2 linked regions of the Oreochromis niloticus genome follow. Each later gene encodes a partner of the first gene's protein in a complex. Links are inferred from orthologs where the notes say so. Each region holds a gene or a part of one and is shown in the gene's direction. Other genes may lie near its edges.

Region 1 (10,615 bases):
AACTTTAGAGCTAATTTCCACTTTCGATGCCTGAATGTTGGGAGAAGGCTTTAGGAAGTCGTGAGTACAGCTGGAAAGGTGTGGCAGGAACGATTCAAAAGCCTCACTAATTTAGACACCACCCATCCAACATCCACCCACACCCTCTGCATTAAACACACACTGAGCCATGACCGTTTTCTCCTTTCCTGTTCTCATGTGGTCTTACAGCACTGCCACCCTATTAGTCAGTCACCTTTAAAGGGGCGGTCAGTAAGTGGTGTGAGTGCAGAGGTAACAGGTACACAGGTGTGTCGTTACCCCGTTCCCAGAGAGTGTCCCCAGATGTAAAGAGGCAGCGTTTTGTCTGTCCGCCGCTTCAGCCAATCATAAATGAAGAGAGCGTCTGAGGTCATCCCGCTCTCTGATGGTGAGCCTTCTGAATCGCCCCAACCTGCACACACACACACACACACACACACACACAGGTCACACAGGTGTGCCAGCTGTGTTTGTCTGCCTGCTGTACTTGGCTTATTTCTCACCTCTGTAATCAAACGTGACCACGTGGTAGCCTAACGAGCTGAGGACCTGAAGGAAAACAGGCAGACACAGTCAGTCATTGCAGCATCACTCCGTCCACAGCCAATAAGATCAAAGAGATCGAAGACTGGAGAGCGTTTCACAGACGCAGAAAGAAAAACAGTGACAAAAACAGGAAGTCCACAAACTCTCAGCTCATTAAACCACGCCCCCAAACATGCATGTGTCTCAGAAAATGTGACCCTGATCTGACCCAGACCCCTTTAAAGGGCCTGGGTCAGATCAGGGTCAGAGGTCGAGGAGCTCCTGATGAGGGTTCTGTGGTTTCTGGAAGTTTCCATAAATTCTGTGACTGACTCCAAACAGCAGACGAGTTTTCACCTTGTACAGCTGCACTCTGTGGTCTCCTCCTCTGTAGAGAGACACGAGGTCAAAGGTCAAACTCTACATTTAAATCAATGACAAAGGTGTGTGTATGCCTGCTGGCAGGGCCGGGCCGGGCGGTTCACCTGGTCCCTGCGTTTCCATGGAGATAGAGGATAACAGGATGGGAGGAGCTAAACTTGGACTCGTACCAGTCGCCTTCCTTCCCCTGAGCTTCTCTCCACATCTGAGCAGGAACCGTGTGCCTGAAACAAACAAACAAACATGTAAACAAACAAACACACGCTGGGTCTCGGGAGCAGGAGGCTCGTTTCCTCCTCACTCCTCCAGCCTCCACCCTTGGCTCATGGTCACAGGTAATCTGAGACGTCTGCACTGCCCACAGGATTTCCTCTTATCCAGGTAACTTCAGGGTGAACTCTGAACTTTCTATAGAGGTCGTGTCGGGCTTGCAGTCGCCATGGTAACTCATGCTGTGAACCCCAGCTTCCTGATCCCAGCATCAGTTGACTCCAGATAATGGAACGACATGGGTGCGTGTAAGGTGCTCCACAGTATCTGTCTGAGGGCGGGAATGTGGATCGATCAGTCCAGCACGCGTGTCAGGAAACACCTGAACCCTCAGCCCGAGGGCGAGACTCCGCCCACATGTCCATACTTTATATCGACTGAAAACCTCGACTTCCTTTAAAGACACACACCGATACACACCACACCTGTCTGTGTGTGTGTGTGTCTGTCTGTGTGTGTGTGTGTGTGTGTGTGTGTGTGTGTCTGTCTGTCTGTGTGTGTGTCTGTGTGTGTCTGTGTTACCAGACTCCGATCTTCAGCCCGCTCTCAGGTTCCAGGTAGAAGTTGTGTGTGTGGTTCAATCCCTGGTCCAGAGGTCGCTTCAGGTCGATGAAATACGGCATCCTCACTGAGGGGAGGAGGTCAAAGGTCACATACTGATCACATGACTGCTCACTGACACCCAGGATGCCTCGCTATTCACAATGCTTCCTGTCATCATTACTGATCTTTACAGTAATTAATACACCTCAGTGACACACACACACACACACACACACACACACACACACACACAGAATAAATAAACGTTCTGTTGTGATTTATTAAAGTAACGCGGCCCCACAGGTGGGTGGCCCCTCCCTCTGCTGTGTGGTTTCCACCTGAGCCTCTGTGCTATTTTTAGCCCCCATCACGTCGAGGAAACCCTTTTTATAGTTGAGCTGCACATTCATGTCTTTCCTTTTAAGGAGAAATGTGGGCGTGGCATTTTGTCTTCTGCAGTGCACCTGTGCAGGTGACGTGGACAGACTGATGTCTGTCACGATCACAGGACCGACACTTTGTTTTCTAAACTTCACTGAGTCAGACGAACTGTTTGATGCCGTCTGATTGGACGACGGACGCTCTTTAACCGAGACTAGTCATTCACTCAGGTAAGAGTCACAGAGAAGCCCATGAGCAAGCTCTCGGCGACAGCGAGGAGGAAGAACTCCCTTTAACAGGAAGAGACCTCGACCAGAGCAGGACCAGGGAGGGGCAGGCGGCCGGGGTTTGAAGTGATTCATCGAGTTTTCTTTTACTGCGTGTTAACGAAAAGGTTTTTATAAATAAAGGAGCGTCCGCTCACACAGGCCGATTCGGGACACGCCGACTCACCGAAGTTGAGGAAGACGAGTTTGGCCTGGATGGACGGACACAGCTTGATGATGAAGGGAATGGAGACGTAGACGAGCAGCAGCCACAACACCACCCTCTTCAGTTTCCCCACCAGACCCAACCTGAGCACACACATTCAAAATAACTTTATTTAAACCCCGCCTACTCACAAGGGCACACAATAACAGCACAACATCATGAATGACCCACACGTGACACGTTCAGCGTGACACGTGTGACAGGCGTGCAGATCGTCTGACACGTGAAATCTTTACATTCAGTTTGTGACGGGAACCTGATTCTGTTTGGTTTGAACTTTCTGTACATTTATTTTTATTATGACTTTTACTCCAACAATGATTAAAATGTCCTGTTATTAAAGGGTAACTGAAGCCTCAGCTGACATTAAATACACATTTCACTGTATTATTATATCACAGGTCATTTTAAGAACACAGTAACTAATAGAAAGTTTCCGTGGACTTTATTTCAGCGTCCACCACTCGACCCGATCACACAGGATTGACTTTTATTACATTTTTATTCATTAATCTGCATCTGACAACCATCGAGCTGCCAAAGACACGAAACATGAATAAACCCAGGAAACTGCAAGAAACACAACTCTGAAAATAACGCACACAACATGTGTGAGCGATGCAGCCTCACGTTCACCGTTTAAATAAAGTTTATTCAAGTTTGGTAGCAGCTGCTTTCTCTCAGGACAACATGTGAAGGTGATATCTGAGCCCTGTGTGTGTGTGTGTGTGTGTGTGTGTGTGTGTGTGTGTGTGTGTGTGTGTGTGTGTGTGTGTGTGTGTGTGTGTGTAAGCTGATCAGCTGTATTGGTATTGTCGCTGTAACAGGACGCTGCAGCTGCAGACTGAATTATTCATTGATGAGTGAGAGTCTGCAGACCTTCACCTGTCCTCAGAGCAGCATGTTTACATGCACACACACAGCATCTTGTCTGATCGTGGCTGTAATGATGAACATAAGCAGGAAATCAATGTTTTTATCTACAAACAGCTTCTAAAGCCCCGCCTCTTTAACGTGGACCTCCTCCTAACTTCCTGTCAGGTGTCTCCACAGCTGGATGCCCGTGTTTGTGGCGGGCTAGACTCCCACTGTTACACCTGCAGTACTGCTGACTCGTGATAAGAAAACGCAGCTCCGTATTTCACGGCGACTCTCTGAAAAGTGTGTCAGAGGTCAAAGGGCACCCGTGTTTGAGGTCGAGACGCTGACTCGGCGTCACGGAGCAGAACTTCTCCTTTCACAAGCTGATTCTGCAGGAAGTGATGACACATGGACTCAAACCCGTGACCCACAGCTTTAACACGCATCAGCAGCAGCAGCGAGGCCACTTCCTGTCGGCGTCTGAGCTCAGACGGTGGATGTGTCAACGTCCCAGGATGCACTGGGCCTGACCTGTGCTTCAGGTGACCTCCTGCTGGAGCTGCAGAGACTCTAATGAGGATTAAACCAAAGAAGAAGAGTGGACCTGACAGGCTGAGCTGGGGTTAAACGAGGTCTGACATTCTTCATTCTTCGTGAATTAAAGATCAGAAAAGAGTCACTTTGTCTTTTTGGAGTATTTTCTTTAAATTCTTTCATTTCTTCATTAAAGGACGGCTGTGAAGGCGGAGCCTGAGAGCCTTCTTCACCCCCAGCTGTGATGTTTAACCCTGCTGGAGGCGGTCCTATGAAGCTCTCTGAGCCGTGAGCTGTGACCGAACACTCAACTCAAACACTCAACAATAAAGTCAGGATGAAGGCCGACCTGAAAGTGTCAGCTTCATCCTGATAGAGAAACATCAGAATCACAGCAGCTTCATGTTTGTTTGTCTCTCAGTGAAGCTGCTGTTATCAGCTCATTTCTGCTGTAACTGCTGACTTCCTGTGCCCGTAACCAGAGATGACTCAGTTAAACTAAACGTGATGATGTTGCGACAGCTTGAGTCTGTCAGCTGTTGCAGGTAAATAGCTTTGGCATCTCGATGTAAAGTTTCCTGCTGCAGTAAACAAAGAGCAGTTTTGTGTTCAGAGCTTTGAATGAGGCGCTGCTTTATGGACCCGCCGTGTTCAGTCCGACCTGCAGCTTCCGGTCTGACCAGCTCGCCGGCCTCGGTGAAACCAGTCGGACCAGAAACGCCACCCCACAGTCAGATCTTGCACAAGGGTCAAAATCCCAGCACGTTGAGGAAATACCTGAGTTTGTACAAGCCCGCTCCGATCTCTCAGACGGGACACTTTTGGTCTCCTCTGTGATGTTTTTTAATAAGCTGTTTATTCAACTCTGTTTTTAAGCATTTTTTATAAAATGTTCTTATTCGAGTTGTAATTTTTAGCTTTCCATTTTACTGTTGTTTCTTCTTATTTCTGTTTTACGTGTGAGCTGTTTATCATTATGGATTTATACCTTTATCACTGTTAAATGTCTCACTCTCTTGTACAGCACTAATTATTCTTAAATGAATAAACTTGAGTAGAAAAGCAGCAAAAACAATAAAGATTTTTTTCTATGAAATGGAATTCACTTCACATCACACTGATTTTCATCTAAATAACGCGATGCTTCAACATCACAAGCATCTGTCCCGCCTCTCACCTCCGGAACGGTTTGGCCATGCTCCGGTCCTCTCCCGGGCCCTGCCGGCTGCCTGCTGCGGGCCCCGCCGCTCCTCTGCCAGTGCGCTGCTTCAGGTCCGGGTCGCTGTCCAGCAGAGTGCCGGTGGTCCCGCTGTCATGCTCCGCTGTCTGCGAGTTGGTCCGCTTACGCATGCCTGGAAACGTGATTGAAAGCGGATGTTAACCGGAGGACACCCCCGTCGTCGGCGGGGAGGAGGCCGCTGCGGTGCGGGTGACGGAGCGCTGAGAGCCGGTGAGCACGGAGCCGAGTCCCCGCTGTGCCTGCGCCGAGATCCGCAGAGAGCAGCTGATCTGAAGCAGATCTGCCGCAGCCAATCGCAACGCAGGTAACACAACCACGTGGGCGCACAGTGACGCGTCCACGGCCCCCGGGGAGCGTCGGAGCAACGACAACCAAAACAAAACCGGTTTATGAGGATTAAAGAAAGACTAAAGACGAAGGGAGCGTACGGGGCCTTCAGGGACAGCTCGGAAAGTCAAGAAACGCCCAGAATGACGTGACCAAAGTGAAGCGTGAGAAGCTGTGATCTCTGTCTCTGTGTTGGAATATTTAAGCAGCTTCTATCTTGATTTATACATTGTATTTCATTCCAATACACACCACAGACCAAAAAAAATCCCAAACTAAAGCATTTATGAATCGACATCAGGACACTGAGTATCCATTAAGTCCCAGAAAGAGAAGCCACCACAAAGATCAAGTAATTTCCTGATAAACAGCTGCAGTGATGTGTATTTGATTGGAAGCGTGGATGAAACCAACGATCACCCCAGAAGTTTTGACTTATTTTTGAGGGATTTTGCTGCAGAGGGGTCGTTTTTCCGGTGGAACTTGAACGCAGTATTAACAGTGAAGCTAACCGAAGCTAACCCAAGAAGAAGCGGCGGAGAGTGCGTTAAAGGCGGCTTTATGAACTCACACAGAGCCAGTGAGTCCGGCTCGTCCTGGTCCCCGCTGTCAGAGGCTCCTGTCGGGCTGACGGCTTTATTTTTAGCCGCTGCGCTTACCGGAAGTCACGCTGCGGGATAGAACTGAGATTTGACGGTAGATGACGGCTTTCCCGCCCCCGGCGACACCAGCACTAACACGGCTCTCTCTCACCTCTAAGTCGGGCTCAAATGAATCCGCTTCACCGCATCTCCGACTCTTTCCAGAGCCTTTAGGAATCGCAGCTGCCCGCTTCGTGTCGCGGAGTCTGAGGTTTGACCCAACGCGGCTTCCGGAGCTGCGCCTGGAACGGTCACGTGATCAAAACATTGTTTTTACCGCGAACGCGAGCCGCCCGGTACAGTAGGAGCGCGTCGCGGTCCAACGGAGAGATTCCCGGTATTCTGCTCGGTTCTGTTCGGTGTGCTCGTTTTCGAGGTGCCACGATGTTCTGCGAAAAAGCCATCGAGCTGATCAGAGAGCTGCACCGCATGAGCGACGGACAGCTGCCCGCGTTTAACGTGAGTGATCCCGGCGAAAACCCAGAGCTTCACCCGGTTTTCAGAGGCAGCGGACTCCATTCACAAACCTGATATTTTAATATTTACCTGCTGCTCAGAGCAGAATAATCGGTCTGTGATGCATCGCAAACATCCTCAGTCAGTGCAGACACAGGACTAAACTTCGGCTCAGGTCTGATGATTCAAATACTGACCAACAGACCAATGAGGGGAATTTAAGAAAACGGACTCTGAAATTGGAAAAGTGTTGGACAGAATTATGCGCGTCTTAGAGATCTCATCTAAACATGTTTACACATAACGGGCACTGCATTACATGTCGGCTGTTTTAACGACACCGATGTGCAGCCAGCAGCACACAGTTAATATTATGTTGGACTCTTCGTGGTGAATCATTTCCTGCATATGCTGAATTATCAAAGTGCTGTCAAACTCGTGTGTGGATGACTAATAACAACTCAGCCTTAAACAGGGAGAAATTTGAATGGAGTCTGGATTCAACAAGAATCATCTGAAGGCGCCTGGAAGTGAGGGTTTGATGCAAACTAGTGCTTTGTGGAGGTCTGTGCCTCCACCGGGAGCTGCTCCATCAGGTCACTGAGCCTCACTCACTTCGGGTTTGGTTTCTGTGTTTCAGGAGGATGGACTGCGACAGGTGCTGCAGGAGATGGAGGCACTTTACGAGCAGAACCAGAGTGACGTGTGAGTCCACGGCAGGCCAATCTGTCCGGGTTTCCTCAGAGTTCCCAGGGTCTGAGGGTTTGGATCCAGGTTTCTGTTAACCTGAGCTTCACCATGACCAGATTAAACCTCCCGTGCCCCCGCTCCTCCCTCTCATAGCAGGTTTTAAAAACCATGAAATCCATATCAAATGAACAGGAAGTCATGTGAAGCTTTGGGCCTCAGCTTCAGTTTAAATTCATGATACTGGGTCCAAAACCACCTACAGTTAATGTTACAATAAAAGTAATAAATAATACTAAATGCAATGAAAATTTTATCTCAGGAATTAAATAAAATTTTATTTATACAGCAACAAATCCCAACAACAGTCGCCTCAGGGTGCTTATGCTGTAAGGTAAAGACCCTACAGTAACACACCCTCCGGACCTCCTAAAAAGGAGGAACACCACCTGAGTGCTGGTTCAGGGTGTCATGAAGGCCCCGCCCACTCCAAACTGCTCAGCGGACCCCGTCCAGCATCCTCCCTGGCACCTGAGTGTTCGCACGCACAGACAGGTGCGACTGACGGCGTCACTGATCAGCTGATGTGCGTGTTTTTTCAGGAACGAGGCAAAGAGCGAAGGTCGCGCCGAGCTGATTCCCTCCATCAAACTGCGCCACTGCTGCCTGCTGAGGAACCAGCGCTGCGTCACCGCCTACCTGTAACCACACCTGCAGTCATGTGACCACCTCTCTCTGCCTCACCTTTCTCCTCGATGACCTTTGCTGATCTTTGTTGCAGGTACGACCGGCTGCTGAGGATCAGAGCGCTGCGCTGGGAGTACGGCAGCGTGCTGCCCGCCAATGTTCGCTTCCACATGTGTGCAGAGGAGGTGAGTGTGACATCACTTCCTGTGTGTCTCTCAGGTGTTAGCGCTCTCACTGATGCTCTTTTTATTGGCGGTTGTAAACTTTCACTTTAAAAGCCTGAGTAATTCGCTTCAGGGGAGGCTTTTATTGTGAAAGAGGCAGCAGAGCGTGCTGTAGCTCTTCAGTGTGTGTGTGTGTGTGTGTTGTGTGTGTTTTAGCTGCAGTGGTTCAGTCAGTATAAGAAGTCTCTGGCCTCCTTCATGCGCTCTCTGGGGGGCGATGAGGGTCTGGACATCACGCAGGACATGAAGCCTCCAAAGAGCCTCTACATTGAGGTGAGACATTTGACCTTTGACCTTCAGCTGCAGCATGACCTCGCAGCACTGACGCCGGCATCCGTCTTTGTTTTTCAGGTGAGGTGTCTGAAGGACCACGGCGAGTTTGAGATCGACGACGGCACGGTGATCCTGCTGAAGAAGAACAGCCAGGTGAGGACAGGAAGCCACTCTTCTTCTACTGTTTAATAACATGTGAAATGTTTGAAGTCATCATGGTAACGTCCCCTCTGTCCTCAGCACTTCCTGCCGCGGTGGAAATGCGAACTGCTGATTCGTCAGGGCGTCCTGGAGCATGTGGTGTCCTGACGATGCAGATGTTTCAGCAGCTGGAAAACACCTGCACTTACCTTTATTCTGGCCTCTTCTTCTGATGTGATAATAAATGTTTTTTTCAAGCTCCGCCTACTTTATTTAAAAGCTCTCGGCTGCCACTTCCTGTTCTTATCCACCTGAGCAGGAAGCAGGTTCAACAGAACCTGAACCCTGTCAGGGACTTCCTGTGTGTTTGTGTCATGTGACTTGTCATCACAGGATCAGCTGACAGATCCATAAAGAACATCCGGTCTTTAAGTCTGATGTCATCAGCTGTTTCTGGGTCCAAACTCCGCTTCAGGTCCCAAAGTCAAACGAACACTGCGGCATCACTGAGAGTTACAAACTGTCTAAATTCTTTCATCTTTAATAAAATGATCAGCGTTGCTGCTTTACCAGGTGTAACTATTAAGTTTAACATCCAGGCATCCATGAAAACAGGATTTATGAAATTTAACAGAGTTAGAAGTTAGCAGGAAGTTAGCTCACTAGCTTCCACCTAAACATGATATAGCATGTTCTGACTGAGATTTCTGAAACATTCAAACGTACAGCTCTGCTATCACTTCCAACATAAATGAAGACAGAAAACTAAACAGCAGTGACGTTTGTAGGGTTACTGAAGTTGGGCTAGCTGGTATATAATGACGTGCTACGTGGTGGCTAGCTACACAGCTATGTTAGCATCACATAAACACTGAAGCTGGAGGATGAACGCTAACTTTCTTTCCATTTCGTATAAGTTAACGTGAGGGTTCACGATGGTTAGGGAATAAATGGATTATCTCACACCTGAGATAATCCATCCACAGTACGAGGTTAGTCATTAATATGCTGCTGCATGTGCTGGGCTGTAGTTATATCGGAAGGGTTTAAAAACTGAGCTTTAAAATGAACAGTGGTGATAAAAACCGAGAGAGGACGACAGTGATCACTGACTGTTTTTAGGGGCTTGTTCAGATTAAATGGAACAAGATACAAAATGTTAATAACACAACAGCCTTAATAAACACAGAGTAGTTTGGACCGAAGCAGGATTCATACGCTGTCACTTACAGACGGGATTAGACAGGTTTATGCCATCATGGACACTTTATTAGGTCTACCTCCGAGTGGGCGGAGCCCTATTTCCTTCAGAGCGTCTCAGATTCAACAAGTTGAAAGTGTTCCTCAGACTCTGGTCCATGTGGATATGACATCATCACGACATCATGACACGAGTGCTGCAGGTTTGTCAGTGTGTTAATCTGACTACCTGTTTCCTTCCCATTCTTCTCCTTCTGACCTCAGTGAGGCACGACCACGCTCACAGCTGCTGACGTGGGATTGGCTGATTAAAGGCATCAGGTATTTCATCAGGTGTACCTAATGAAATGGCCAGTGACTGTATGACAGCACAGGTGTGAAGCTTTACCTGTAATCATACTTTGAAATCAAATAAAATGTTGATGTTCAGGTTCAGCTGATCGAGTTTATCGACGTGGTTATTGGCTGCAGGCGCTCGGCGCCGCTGGGACGTCTGACTGATTAAAAAGATAAAAGTAAGATGACATAAAGATTAAACACAGCAGAGCTCCGAAGCTTTAAAGCCGTGACCGTCGCGGCCTCGGGGCTTCCTCCTGCTCCAAACATCGGCCGGCGCTCCTCACAGCTCACACCAGACCCAAGCGGGCCCTCGGGCGGCCGGTTCTGGCCCCCGAGCTGTATGTTTGACACCGCAGACTTTCAAAGTTGACATTTGAGGCTAACAATGAAAA
Region 2 (10,249 bases), on another chromosome or scaffold:
CTGAGCCGCAGCTACACCGCTGCCGCTGCAGCCCGGGCGGTGCTGGAACACGAGCTGGAGACGATCCGAGCCGCGGGGACGTGGAAAGCGGAGAGGATCATCATCTCCAAGCAGGGTCCTGAGATCAGCGTGGACGGCAGTCGTGGCAGTGAGTACTAGGAGTTTCCAGTTACAGCAGTTTTATAAGTAGCAGTAGCACCCTCCTCGGTGATGGTCCTTAAACGCACCGTCCCAGGTAAGGTGTTATTTCAGTTCTGCCACGTTCTTATCTCAGCGGTGAACTTGAAGTAATCCCTGCTACTCCCTTGTTTTGCACTTCTGAAGCTATTCTCGGGGCAGCCTTTGGAAAAACATTAACCAAAAGTATGAGATTCAAGCTTTAAATAATTCAAAATAATTTGTAAAGTGGTCTTTATGTCATCAACAGAAAGCTGTTTTGTGCTTTGTACAATGCATATTCATTGTTTGACTTGTGAAGGCTCTAGCATTTAACTGCACTGCACCAGTTAATCTCTGCCTTATTTGCTATTGTTCCAGCAAAGCAGCCGATCACTGTTTATATTTCAGCCTGAACCCTTGCCAGAGATCGACTCTGCTAATTTATGAATGGGCCACAGACTTTAGGTCGTGACCCAACATGCACTAAAACGACCCCCGTTCATTTCATGTGCCCAACAGTGCCACGGTCCCATGCATTGTTTTCTCTGTCACTCTTTGTCTTCTCTCTCTGTTGTCTCGTCTGTAGCCTAAAAATACAAGCAGAACTTCTACTCCCAGCTTCGACCTGCTCAAAGAGGTTATTATGGGACAGTGACTCTCTCTTTTTTAACCTTAATTTTCCTTTTGTCCATCCAAAATTCTCTCAGGTATATTGAACTTCTGCGCCAACAACTACCTCGGGCTGTCCAGTCATCCAGAAGTGGTCCAGGCAGGAATCGATGCTCTGAAGACACACGGTGCTGGACTGAGCTCTGTCAGATTCATCTGTGGGACGCAGGTCTGGTGCTTAAAGATCATGTATATCACCCCAAAGCTGTCTAATTCATGAGGTTAAGTTTGCGTAATGCGTGATTTACAGGATCTCCACAAAAAGCTAGAGCAGAAGCTCGCTGAGTTCCATGAGAGAGAGGACTGCATCCTCTACGCCAGCTGTTTCGATGCCAACGCGGGACTTTTTGAGGTGGGTCCAAATGGACTTGAAACGAAGGACTTCCCCCTGTTACGATCAGTATAACGACAAATTATTCTCACAACAGGTGCTGCTGGGCCCAGATGACGCAGTGCTCTCTGACGAGCTAAACCACGCCTCGATCATCGATGGCATTCGCCTGTGTCGAGCGAAGAGGCTGCGCTACAAACACATGGACCTCGGTGACCTGGAAACCAAACTCAAAGAAGCTTCGGTGTGTGGAGGAATGTAGACGGAGTAAAACATTCCTTCTTGTTCCATCGCTCCTTGCATTGTGTTAGAAAATAGTGAAAATGACACAGCTTACTCAGAGGAGGTCACACACCGATCACCTGCGCTCTCTGTTCTCCTCCTCAGTCGTCTCGTATGCGTCTGGTAGTGACAGATGGGGTCTTCTCAATGGATGGAGATGTGGCTCCCTTGCGAGGGATTTGTGACCTGGCTGAGCAGTACGGAGCCATGGTGTTTATAGACGAATGTCACGCCACCGGTTTCCTAGGGCCTCGGGGAAGGTGGGTAAGAAAAGACTTCAACTGAAAAATCCTAAGTCAGTTATTTTGCAAAATAAAACACAAGACCTCTAATCGTAAAAGTGTAATGCCCTAAAATCATTTTTAATTTCTAAGTTTTTTTTTATTTCGAAGAGGCAGAGAAGAGTGGATTGTTATTAAAATGCTTTTCAGCTTCTGTGTCCTCGTGTCCAACAGACTTTGAATAAAAAACTGCTCTAAAAAAGCTGGGACAGTGTCTTTTTCAACATGACCACTAGGTGTCGCCAAAGTCCATTCTTACAGCAACTGCCGTTTACTGGGCTCTTGATGAAGTTTAGCTATCTCCGTTATCAAGAGGTGATGAACTAATGTTACCGCTTCCCTGTGATTTGCAGAGGAACTGATGAACTCCTTGGAGTGATGGATAGAGTTCATATTATTAACTCCACTCTGGGCAAAGCGCTGGGAGGAGCAGCAGGTATGACTCCATTCTAACATGAAGGCTCTCACAACATCTTTTTATTAAGTATAAATTAGTAAAACGTTGTATTGTTTTCTCTCAGGTGGTTACACAGTTGGCCCAAAGCCTCTCATTGACCTACTCAGGCAGCGCTCGCGGCCCTACCTATTCTCCAACGCGCTCCCCCCTCCTGTGGTGGGCAGTGCAACGCGGGCTGTGGAACTGTTGCTTGCCTCCAATGAGATTGCCCAAAGCATGACGGCCAAAACCATGCGGTACATTTTGTTCTTACGAACAGTGGGAGTCTTCTATGTTTTTAGTGTTGTGTACATCATAAACACCAATCGGTTTACCTGTACGAATATTAATATCATATATAGGCTGACCTGCACTCAGTGATAAGGTTTATACTGCTTACAACTGGTTTTACCCATCTGTGAGTATAATAGTTTTCTCTTTGCTGTCAAATCAGGTTCAGGAACAAGATGACGCAAGCCGGCTTCACCATCGCAGGCTCAGCTCACCCCATCTGCCCTGTGATGCTCGGCGATGCACGTTTGGCCTCTTTAATGGCTGACGATATGCTGAAGCTTGGTGAGACCATAGACTGTATATAATAGATGGAATGTTAGCCATTCATTTTCAAAGAATTAATGTTCAAATTCTGGCCTCTGCCATGTTGTTGTTGTTTTTTTCTTTAAGTCAGACATGACCGTGTTTTGATGAATGACAACTGCTAAGTTATTGGTTTATTATGCTAGCAAGGCTGGTTAGCAAGCTCTAACCTGAATAAGTGCTATGGCTACACAAGCTAATTAGTGCTAAGTAAGACAGAAATTAAATACACTCATCAAAACTGACCACACAGACTTGCTGGACAAGCTAGAACATCCAGTTTGCCGTACAGCCATTTATCAGTAAGTCAAGGTGGCCACAAGCTTATATTTACCTCATTACAGTTTAAAATTGTGAGTAATAAATTAATTTACCACATGTACTGTTGTTGTGAAGGGGGAAACTAGCACTAGAGACCAAAAGTAGTTCTTTGTACCAGGCTAAAAAACATGTTCATTTCTGGGAGTCTATGGGGATTGACTCGCTTTTGGGGACAGCCTCAAGTGCCCGCTCAAGGAACTGCAGTTTTTTGGCACTTCCACATTAACTTTATTTTTTTCTTTAATGTAGATGAAACTGACTCACTTAGCACAGAGTATGTGAATCTGCTACTGTGTTTATACAGTGTCACAGTAGTGTCTTCCCTCCACAGGAGTGTATGTGATTGGATTCTCCTACCCAGTCGTACCAAAGGGAAAAGCCAGAATCCGTGTTCAGATTTCGGCAGCGCACACGGACGAAGACATCGACCGCTGTGTTGACGCTTTCATCCAGACTGGCAGGAAGCACGGCGTCATCTCCTGAATCGAACAAACGGGCTGGAATCAGAAGGATTCAGAAAACTGCTTGCCATTGCAGGGTCACGCTGCCTGTTACTCAAGATCCATGAATGATGGTGATGGAAATTTTAGTTACATTTGTAGGTCACTGGAGGTGAATGTTTGTGCTTGCTTAACTGATTAAAGCACTTTTGCTAAAGTGTTTGTATTGGAACAAAACAGGGCAGTTGATTAAACGCTTTTCATGAGCGAGAAAATGTTTCCACTGAATCTGAAAAGGCATTTAACCATCCTGCAGATGTGATTCTGATGACTGTGAGGATAATGGTGACACATATAATGTGCTTAGCTTATCGGCATGTGTGGTAAACATTAAACATCCTTCAAATAAGAGAAGAAAAAAAACTATGGCTTTGAGTTTTATTTATAAGAAAAGTCCATAATTCTCCTCTAAAGTTGAGATGCTAAATGCTAGAGGTGGCCGAATTGATCCCAATATCAAATATCCATACCAGTGCTGGTATTGGTATCAGATCGATACTAGCGCCATAGGTTTAATACTGTTCTCTAAATTCAGTGTGTAGCCCACTGAATTGTGTTAAATAAAATATTTTCTGAGGGGTAAAAATGAAAAAAATATACCTCAAACATGCTCTCTTCTACATGAGCTGCCTTTATAGGTTCAAAGTATCAGTATTGGTATCAGCAATACTGGTCCTGCACTTAGTTTGAATCAATATCAGAATTTACAGTGTTGCACACCACTACTAAATGAAAACCATTTTGCTATAAAATGCTTTCCTTTATATAATTTTGCTTGGATTCGAAGCAGCACTGCGCAGAGTGATGGAAACATTCACAAACATAGTAAAAGACTGTAGATTGAGAGGATGAGTGGTCCGGCTATGCATTTTTCCCCTCTCCCATGGTTTCAGTCCTCCTTTAAGTTGTACTGAGTTGGTGTCTTTATCCTAGGATGAAACATTCCCGATAGGAGAGGTCCCTGCACCAATTTGTAGTTTGCCGAATGGTTTGAATGTTACTGCATTCCCCACTCCCTAGCACCAAAACACCAAATAACCGAATCTGTTTTGGAGGAACAGGGTTCATCGCTCCAGTAGGCATCCACAGACCCTTGAATCTAGACTCAAGTCTATTCAAGGTGCTTTACAAAGAATGTGGTGGATCAACCCCGTAAGAGGCTTTGTTTTAGTTTTTCCTTTTTTATCTGTGTTTAAGCTTCATGTACATACCAATCAAGCCGATCAATACTCTTCCTTTCAATTAGATAAAAGACATATAGTGTAAATTTGAAATGACAAAGAGTTAAATATTTAAAAGTGCATTTCGCAAAGAATGACAAAGTATTCAGAGGTGTTACTATTCAATCAGCATAAACACATGACTCTTTTAAATCTGACTGTGCAGATCGTCTGTTTCCTTCTTTGTGTCTCTCTCTCCCCACGCTTCCCTCTACCCTCCTCCTGCTGCCTTTTTCGCGCCATCAGTGCTCACAAGCTCCACCTTTACTCTGACGACCTACCTCCGAGTAGCCACGCCGACCAATAGCAATGCAAGGCCTTTCCTATCAGCCAATCAGAGGCCCGGAGATGACGCCACGCAGAGGCGGCTCGCGGGAAAGTGAAGGGAAGGAGTTCAGTTTTTCCCGCGAAAGAGACGCCGTGAGGAGGCTTTGTGTGCGGCACCTTACATCCTGCTAAGTTCTTACTAAGAAGAAAAAGTCGTTTTTGTCTGGGTTTGCTTCTTTACACTCAGCTTCTCTTCGTGTCTTTTGCGACCTGGTTCATTCAGCATGTCTGGCTTTGACGACCCAGGAGTGTACTACAGTGACAGCTTCGGAGGTGGAGAGGGCCCCGGCGGGGACGAAGGTGGACAGAAGCGGATCCAGATCAAGAAGCGGTTCCGTGAGTTCCTGCGACAATTCAGAGTGGGGACCGACCGCACCGGCTTCACCTATAAATACAGGTACGGTAACAGCGAGCGCACCGTGCTGTTGTTTGTTATACAGCCGCACACTGAGTGTTCAGGATCTGATCTCAATATAGGTAATATAGCTAATAAGACTGGTGAGTCTGTGAGGATCGCCTTGTTTCTTAACTGAAAGGCTTTGTTACAAAGTGAGTGTTGAGATTTTTGCTCATTAGTCTGGCAGGAGGCCTAAAGAAAGGGGCTGCTGAATTTGGGGGAAAATGTAGACTCTAGCACAGAGGTGTCAAACATAAGGCCCGAGGGCCAAAATCGGCCAGACGAAGACTCCAGTGTAGCCCACTGAAAGGCTTTGGAAAATGTGAAGGAGTGTGTAAATGCTGGACTTTTAACTATATTTTTATCAGTTTTAAGCTTTTCTCCCCCATCACCATAACTTCTATACCAAAGTAAAGTAATAGCTAAACAGTTAAATGAGTAAATGGAACTTTTCTGTCTACTATCTGGTTTTCTTTTACAGTGGATCAATGATAAAAAAGGGGAAAAAGAAAACTGCTCTGGCCCACTTAAGATTAAATTGGGCTGTATGTGGCTGATGAGTTTGACATCCCTGCTCTAGCTCGTCTTGAACTTGATAACGTGTAGAGACCAACAGTAGTTATATTTGGGTCTACTGTGATCCCTTTTGTGAAGCATCTGAATAATTTGCCATTAAAGGGCTCTAAAGGTGTCATTTTCAGGCTCATCCAGCCTATGAATTTGCAGTATTTTCACTTGTACCTAAATCCTTTACTTAAAAATTCAACTAGAGATGAGCTGAAGCGACACTACACCTTGGGGGAGTACTGGCTGGAGGTGGAGATGGAGGACCTCGCCAGCTTCGATGAGGATCTGTCAGACTGTCTTTACAAGCTGCCGACTGAGAACCTGCCTCTGGTGAGAATGTCACACCACACAAACTCCGTCGCAGCGCGCAATCTGTCCGTCCGACGCCTTCGTCTGAAGGTCTGCTTTTAATTTACAGCTGGAGGAAGCCGCGAAGGAGGTGGCCGATGAGGTGACCCGTCCCCGGCCTGTCGGGGAAGAGGCTGTGCAGGACATCCAGGTCACGTTGAAGAGCGACGCTAATCACGCCTCCATCCGCAGCCTCAAGGTACTCTCATACCTCTTCATGTGTCATACTGTAGGAGTTACTGACAGGTTGATCACACTTTTTCTTGTTTTTTCTGTCCCCTGCAGTCTGAGCAGGTGTCTCGTCTGGTGAAGGTGCACGGCATCATCATCTCTGCAACGGCAGTCAAAGCCAAAGCCACCAAGGTGTTCCTGCAGTGTCGCGGCTGCCGCGCCGTCATCCCCAACATCCCCCTGCCTCCGGGCCTGCAGGGTTACGCCCTGCCGCGCAAGTGCAACTCGTGAGTATGATGGTGGTGTAACGTCCCTCCGCTCGAGTTCCTCACCCAGAATCAGATTTAACAAGGCTCCCTCTTTTCTCAGTGAGAGTGCTGGCAGGGTAAAGTGCCCCGTGGACCCTTTCTTCATCATCCCAGACCGCTGCGTTTGCGTCGACTTCCAGACACTTCGCCTGCAGGAGTCCCCGGATGCTGTACCGCACGGAGAGATGCCCCGTCACCTGCAGCTCTACTGCGACAGGTAAGCACATGTGTGACCAGCACTCAGCTTTTCTGCTGCTCTGCTGCTTTTACACTCATGCTTTTTCCCACCTCTCTCTCAGGTATCTGTGTGACCGCGTGGTCCCAGGAAACAGGGTGACCATCATGGGTATTTACTCCATCAAAAAGATGGCTGCACCAAAAGCCAAAGGCAAAGAGAGAGGGGTTGGCGTGGGTATTCGTGCGTCCTATCTGCGAGTGGTCGGCATCCAGGTGGACACAGAAGGCGCAGGTGAAGAGGGTTTGCATTAAGATGCGGGTGTGATGCGCTTCAGGCACGCAGAGCTGGCTTTAAGTGTGGATGTGTTTTCCTCTTTTAGGCCGTGGTGCCACTGGATCCGTCTCCCCACAGGAAGAGGAGGAACTGAGAGCACTGGCTGCTTCTCCTAACATCTACAACTCTCTGTCACAGTCCATAGCGCCATCCATCTATGGCAGCGACGATGTGAAAAAGGCCATTACCTGTCTGCTGTTTGGAGGTTCAAGAAAGAGGTGAGCTTGAAGCGCAATACATAGACCGCCACCTTTATTGTAAAAGTCCCTGACTTACCCAGCAGTGCTTTCGTTTCCTGTCCTCTGCAGGCTGCCTGATGGTCTCACTCGTAGAGGTGACATCAACCTGCTGATGCTGGGTGATCCCGGCACAGCCAAGTCTCAGCTGCTGAAGTTTGTTGAGAGATGCTCGCCCATCGGGGTAAGTAATCCTGAGTGGATTGTCGTCACTATGGCAAATCCGGTGTAAACCCCTCACACTGATCCTGAACCTCGACTCTGTCCCCTGCAGATCTACACCTCTGGTAAGGGCAGCAGCGCGGCCGGTCTGACTGCCTCCGTGCTCAGGGACCCCAGCACCCGAGGATTCATCATGGAGGGGGGAGCCATGGTGCTGGCCGACGGCGGGGTCGTGTGCATCGACGAGTTTGACAAGGTAAAAACGAAGCAGCACAAGTTGCTCCAGCTGCAAACAAGAATTCAAACTTGGCACAAACTAAACCATCAGTTGATCTCCGGCCTCATTATTAAAGATAACACTGTTTGTTGTCCAGATGAGAGAGGATGACAGAGTGGCGATCCACGAGGCCATGGAGCAGCAGACCATCTCCATCGCTAAGGTATCCCCTCTTTGTGCATTTAAAGAAAGCAAAATGTGCTCGCTATGTTGAAGGCAAGCTAACACGTGGGCTCTCCTCCCAGGCTGGCATCACCACCACCCTGAACTCTCGCTGCTCGGTGCTGGCGGCGGCCAACTCCGTGTACGGCCGCTGGGACGACACAAAGGGCGAAGACAACATAGACTTCATGCCCACCATCCTGTCCCGTTTCGATATGATCTTCATCATCAAGGACCAGCACGACCAGCAGAGAGACATGGTAAGGAAGGCCTGCGGCGTTAAACCCTCGTGCGGTTGGAGTTTTTACGGAGTGTAACTATTTGAACGCGTGTGTTTACAGACGCTGGCTCGCCACGTGATGAACGTCCACCTCAGCGCACAGACGCAGACCGAGGGTGTCGAGGGCGAGATCCCGCTGACCACATTTAAGAAATACATCGCTTATGCCAGAACGTAAGTGTCCTGGAGTTCATATATTAGTTTGATCAAGCACACAGTCATCTACTTAGTTTAAAAAATAAATAATAATACTCATTTGCCCTTTTACAGTAAGTGTGGTCCTCGGCTGTCTGCTGCAGCTGCTGAGAAGCTAAAAAACAGATACGTGGTGATGAGGAGCGGAGCACGAGAGCATGAGAGGGAGAGCGACAAAAGAGCCTCCATCCCCATCACAGTCAGGTAGATTTTTATTTATTTTAATAAATATTCGTGTAAATGTGTCTTTTTACGCCAGCTTTAGTACTTGTATCTTCTCGCGTCATCGTCTGTCTGATGTTTGGGGTTTTCAGGCAGCTGGAGGCCGTCGTGCGCATCGCAGAGTCGCTGGCTAAGATGAAGCTGCAGGCAGTGGCTGGAGAAGAGGAGGTGGATGAGGCCCTGAGGCTCTTCCAGGTTTCCACGCTGGACGCTGCACTGTCTGGCAGCCTTTCAGGTGGGCGTTGGTTATGTTTTTGAGTCTAGCGGATAAATCTGCCTCATTAAACTGAACCATATTAGCTGTTCCATTAAGGAATGTTTTGTTTTAAATTTGCTGGAAGCCAAGTGTTAAGCCTCAGCTAAGCATGCCAACCACATTTTGTGTCCAGGAGCGGAAGGCTTCACGTCTCAAGAGGACCAGGAAATGATCTCTCGCATCGAGAAGCAGCTGAAGAGACGCTTCGCCATCGGCTCGCAAGTGTCAGAGCACAGCATCATTCAGGACTTCACCAAACAGGTGAGAATATCAACCTGGGGATAAAACATTTGAACAGCGATTTGACTCTGTGCCCAGCTTGTGTTTTATGTTCCATTGGGATGATTACAGGAGTACAGTGTTCAGTTGTCTTTTGTCAGTTATGTAAAAACAGGCCTGAGAAACATTTTTACATGCCTGATAAAAGAATCAGTTTTGGTCTGGGTCCTGTGAGTGACCTCTTTCTGTCCTTCCTGCAGAAATATCCGGAGCACGCCATCTACAAAGTCCTCCACCTGATGTTAAGGAGGGGGGAGCTTCAGCACCGCATGCAGAGAAAAGTGCTCTACAGAGTCAAGTAGAGAAAAGTGCTCTGTGAGATAGCCATATTGTTGTTGATGTAAATAGTTTTGATTCTTTTGTGGTGTTATGTTTGCCAGAATGTCAGAATAGTGTCTCGTCTCTGCTGTAGCTCTGTACAGCAGGATGCATGCCAACAGGGTGGATGAAGAGTCACTGCTAAGATGGTCCTAGTGCTTTGTATCAAGCTAAAGATGTTACTTAATGTCTGCATACCGTGTTTAAAAAAAATAAATAAAGTGTTGAAATTCACATTCAAATTTGAGAGTATTTCTTTTTTTTGTGTTTGTTTTTTATTAAATGGATCATAAACAGAGACACAATTTGATGAATACAAATGACAAGTAAAATCACTGCTTTGGTTTGGAGTTGACAGATTGTCCAAATTTCCGTCATGATTTCTCTTTCAGAGCCAAACTGAGTAAAGTGCAAACTGTGCATGTCACACACTGTAT

Evidence for each region. Proteins that work in one complex are often made in the same cells at the same time.
Region 2: gins1 (region 1) and mcm5 share a complex: the UniProt entries of both Homo sapiens proteins name them as parts of the CMG helicase complex. The link is inferred for Oreochromis niloticus from reciprocal best matches to the Homo sapiens genes GINS1 and MCM5.

Annotation. Positions count from the first base shown.
Region 1 is NC_031978.2:2,104,275-2,114,889, forward strand, and holds gins1 (DNA replication complex GINS protein PSF1), read left to right. Parts: upstream 1-6,542; 5' UTR 6,543-6,600; coding exon 6,601-6,675; intron 6,676-6,709; exon of another isoform or gene 6,710-7,202; intron 7,203-7,312; coding exon 7,313-7,377; intron 7,378-7,961; coding exon 7,962-8,060; intron 8,061-8,140; coding exon 8,141-8,231; intron 8,232-8,426; coding exon 8,427-8,543; intron 8,544-8,621; coding exon 8,622-8,696; intron 8,697-8,783; coding exon 8,784-8,852; 3' UTR 8,853-8,941; downstream 8,942-10,615. Other genes in the region: lysophosphatidylserine lipase ABHD12, read right to left, coding at 301-433, 525-570, 904-934, 1,032-1,151, 1,720-1,825, 2,575-2,696, 5,186-5,358. UniProt on the Homo sapiens protein: Required for correct functioning of the GINS complex, a complex that plays an essential role in the initiation of DNA replication, and progression of DNA replication forks.
Region 2 is NC_031969.2:8,560,012-8,570,260, reverse strand, and holds mcm5 (DNA replication licensing factor MCM5), read left to right. Parts: upstream 1-5,171; 5' UTR 5,172-5,347; coding exon 5,348-5,520; intron 5,521-6,290; coding exon 6,291-6,417; intron 6,418-6,505; coding exon 6,506-6,634; intron 6,635-6,720; coding exon 6,721-6,893; intron 6,894-6,975; coding exon 6,976-7,131; intron 7,132-7,213; coding exon 7,214-7,383; intron 7,384-7,471; coding exon 7,472-7,643; intron 7,644-7,733; coding exon 7,734-7,845; intron 7,846-7,935; coding exon 7,936-8,079; intron 8,080-8,197; coding exon 8,198-8,263; intron 8,264-8,345; coding exon 8,346-8,522; intron 8,523-8,603; coding exon 8,604-8,716; intron 8,717-8,812; coding exon 8,813-8,941; intron 8,942-9,051; coding exon 9,052-9,194; intron 9,195-9,348; coding exon 9,349-9,476; intron 9,477-9,694; coding exon 9,695-9,796; 3' UTR 9,797-10,046; downstream 10,047-10,249. Other genes in the region: gcat (2-amino-3-ketobutyrate coenzyme A ligase, mitochondrial), read left to right, coding at 1-148, 867-997, 1,079-1,180, 1,257-1,403, 1,547-1,701, 2,076-2,158, 2,244-2,415, 2,613-2,734 and 1 more. UniProt on the Homo sapiens protein: Acts as a component of the MCM2-7 complex (MCM complex) which is the replicative helicase essential for 'once per cell cycle' DNA replication initiation and elongation in eukaryotic cells.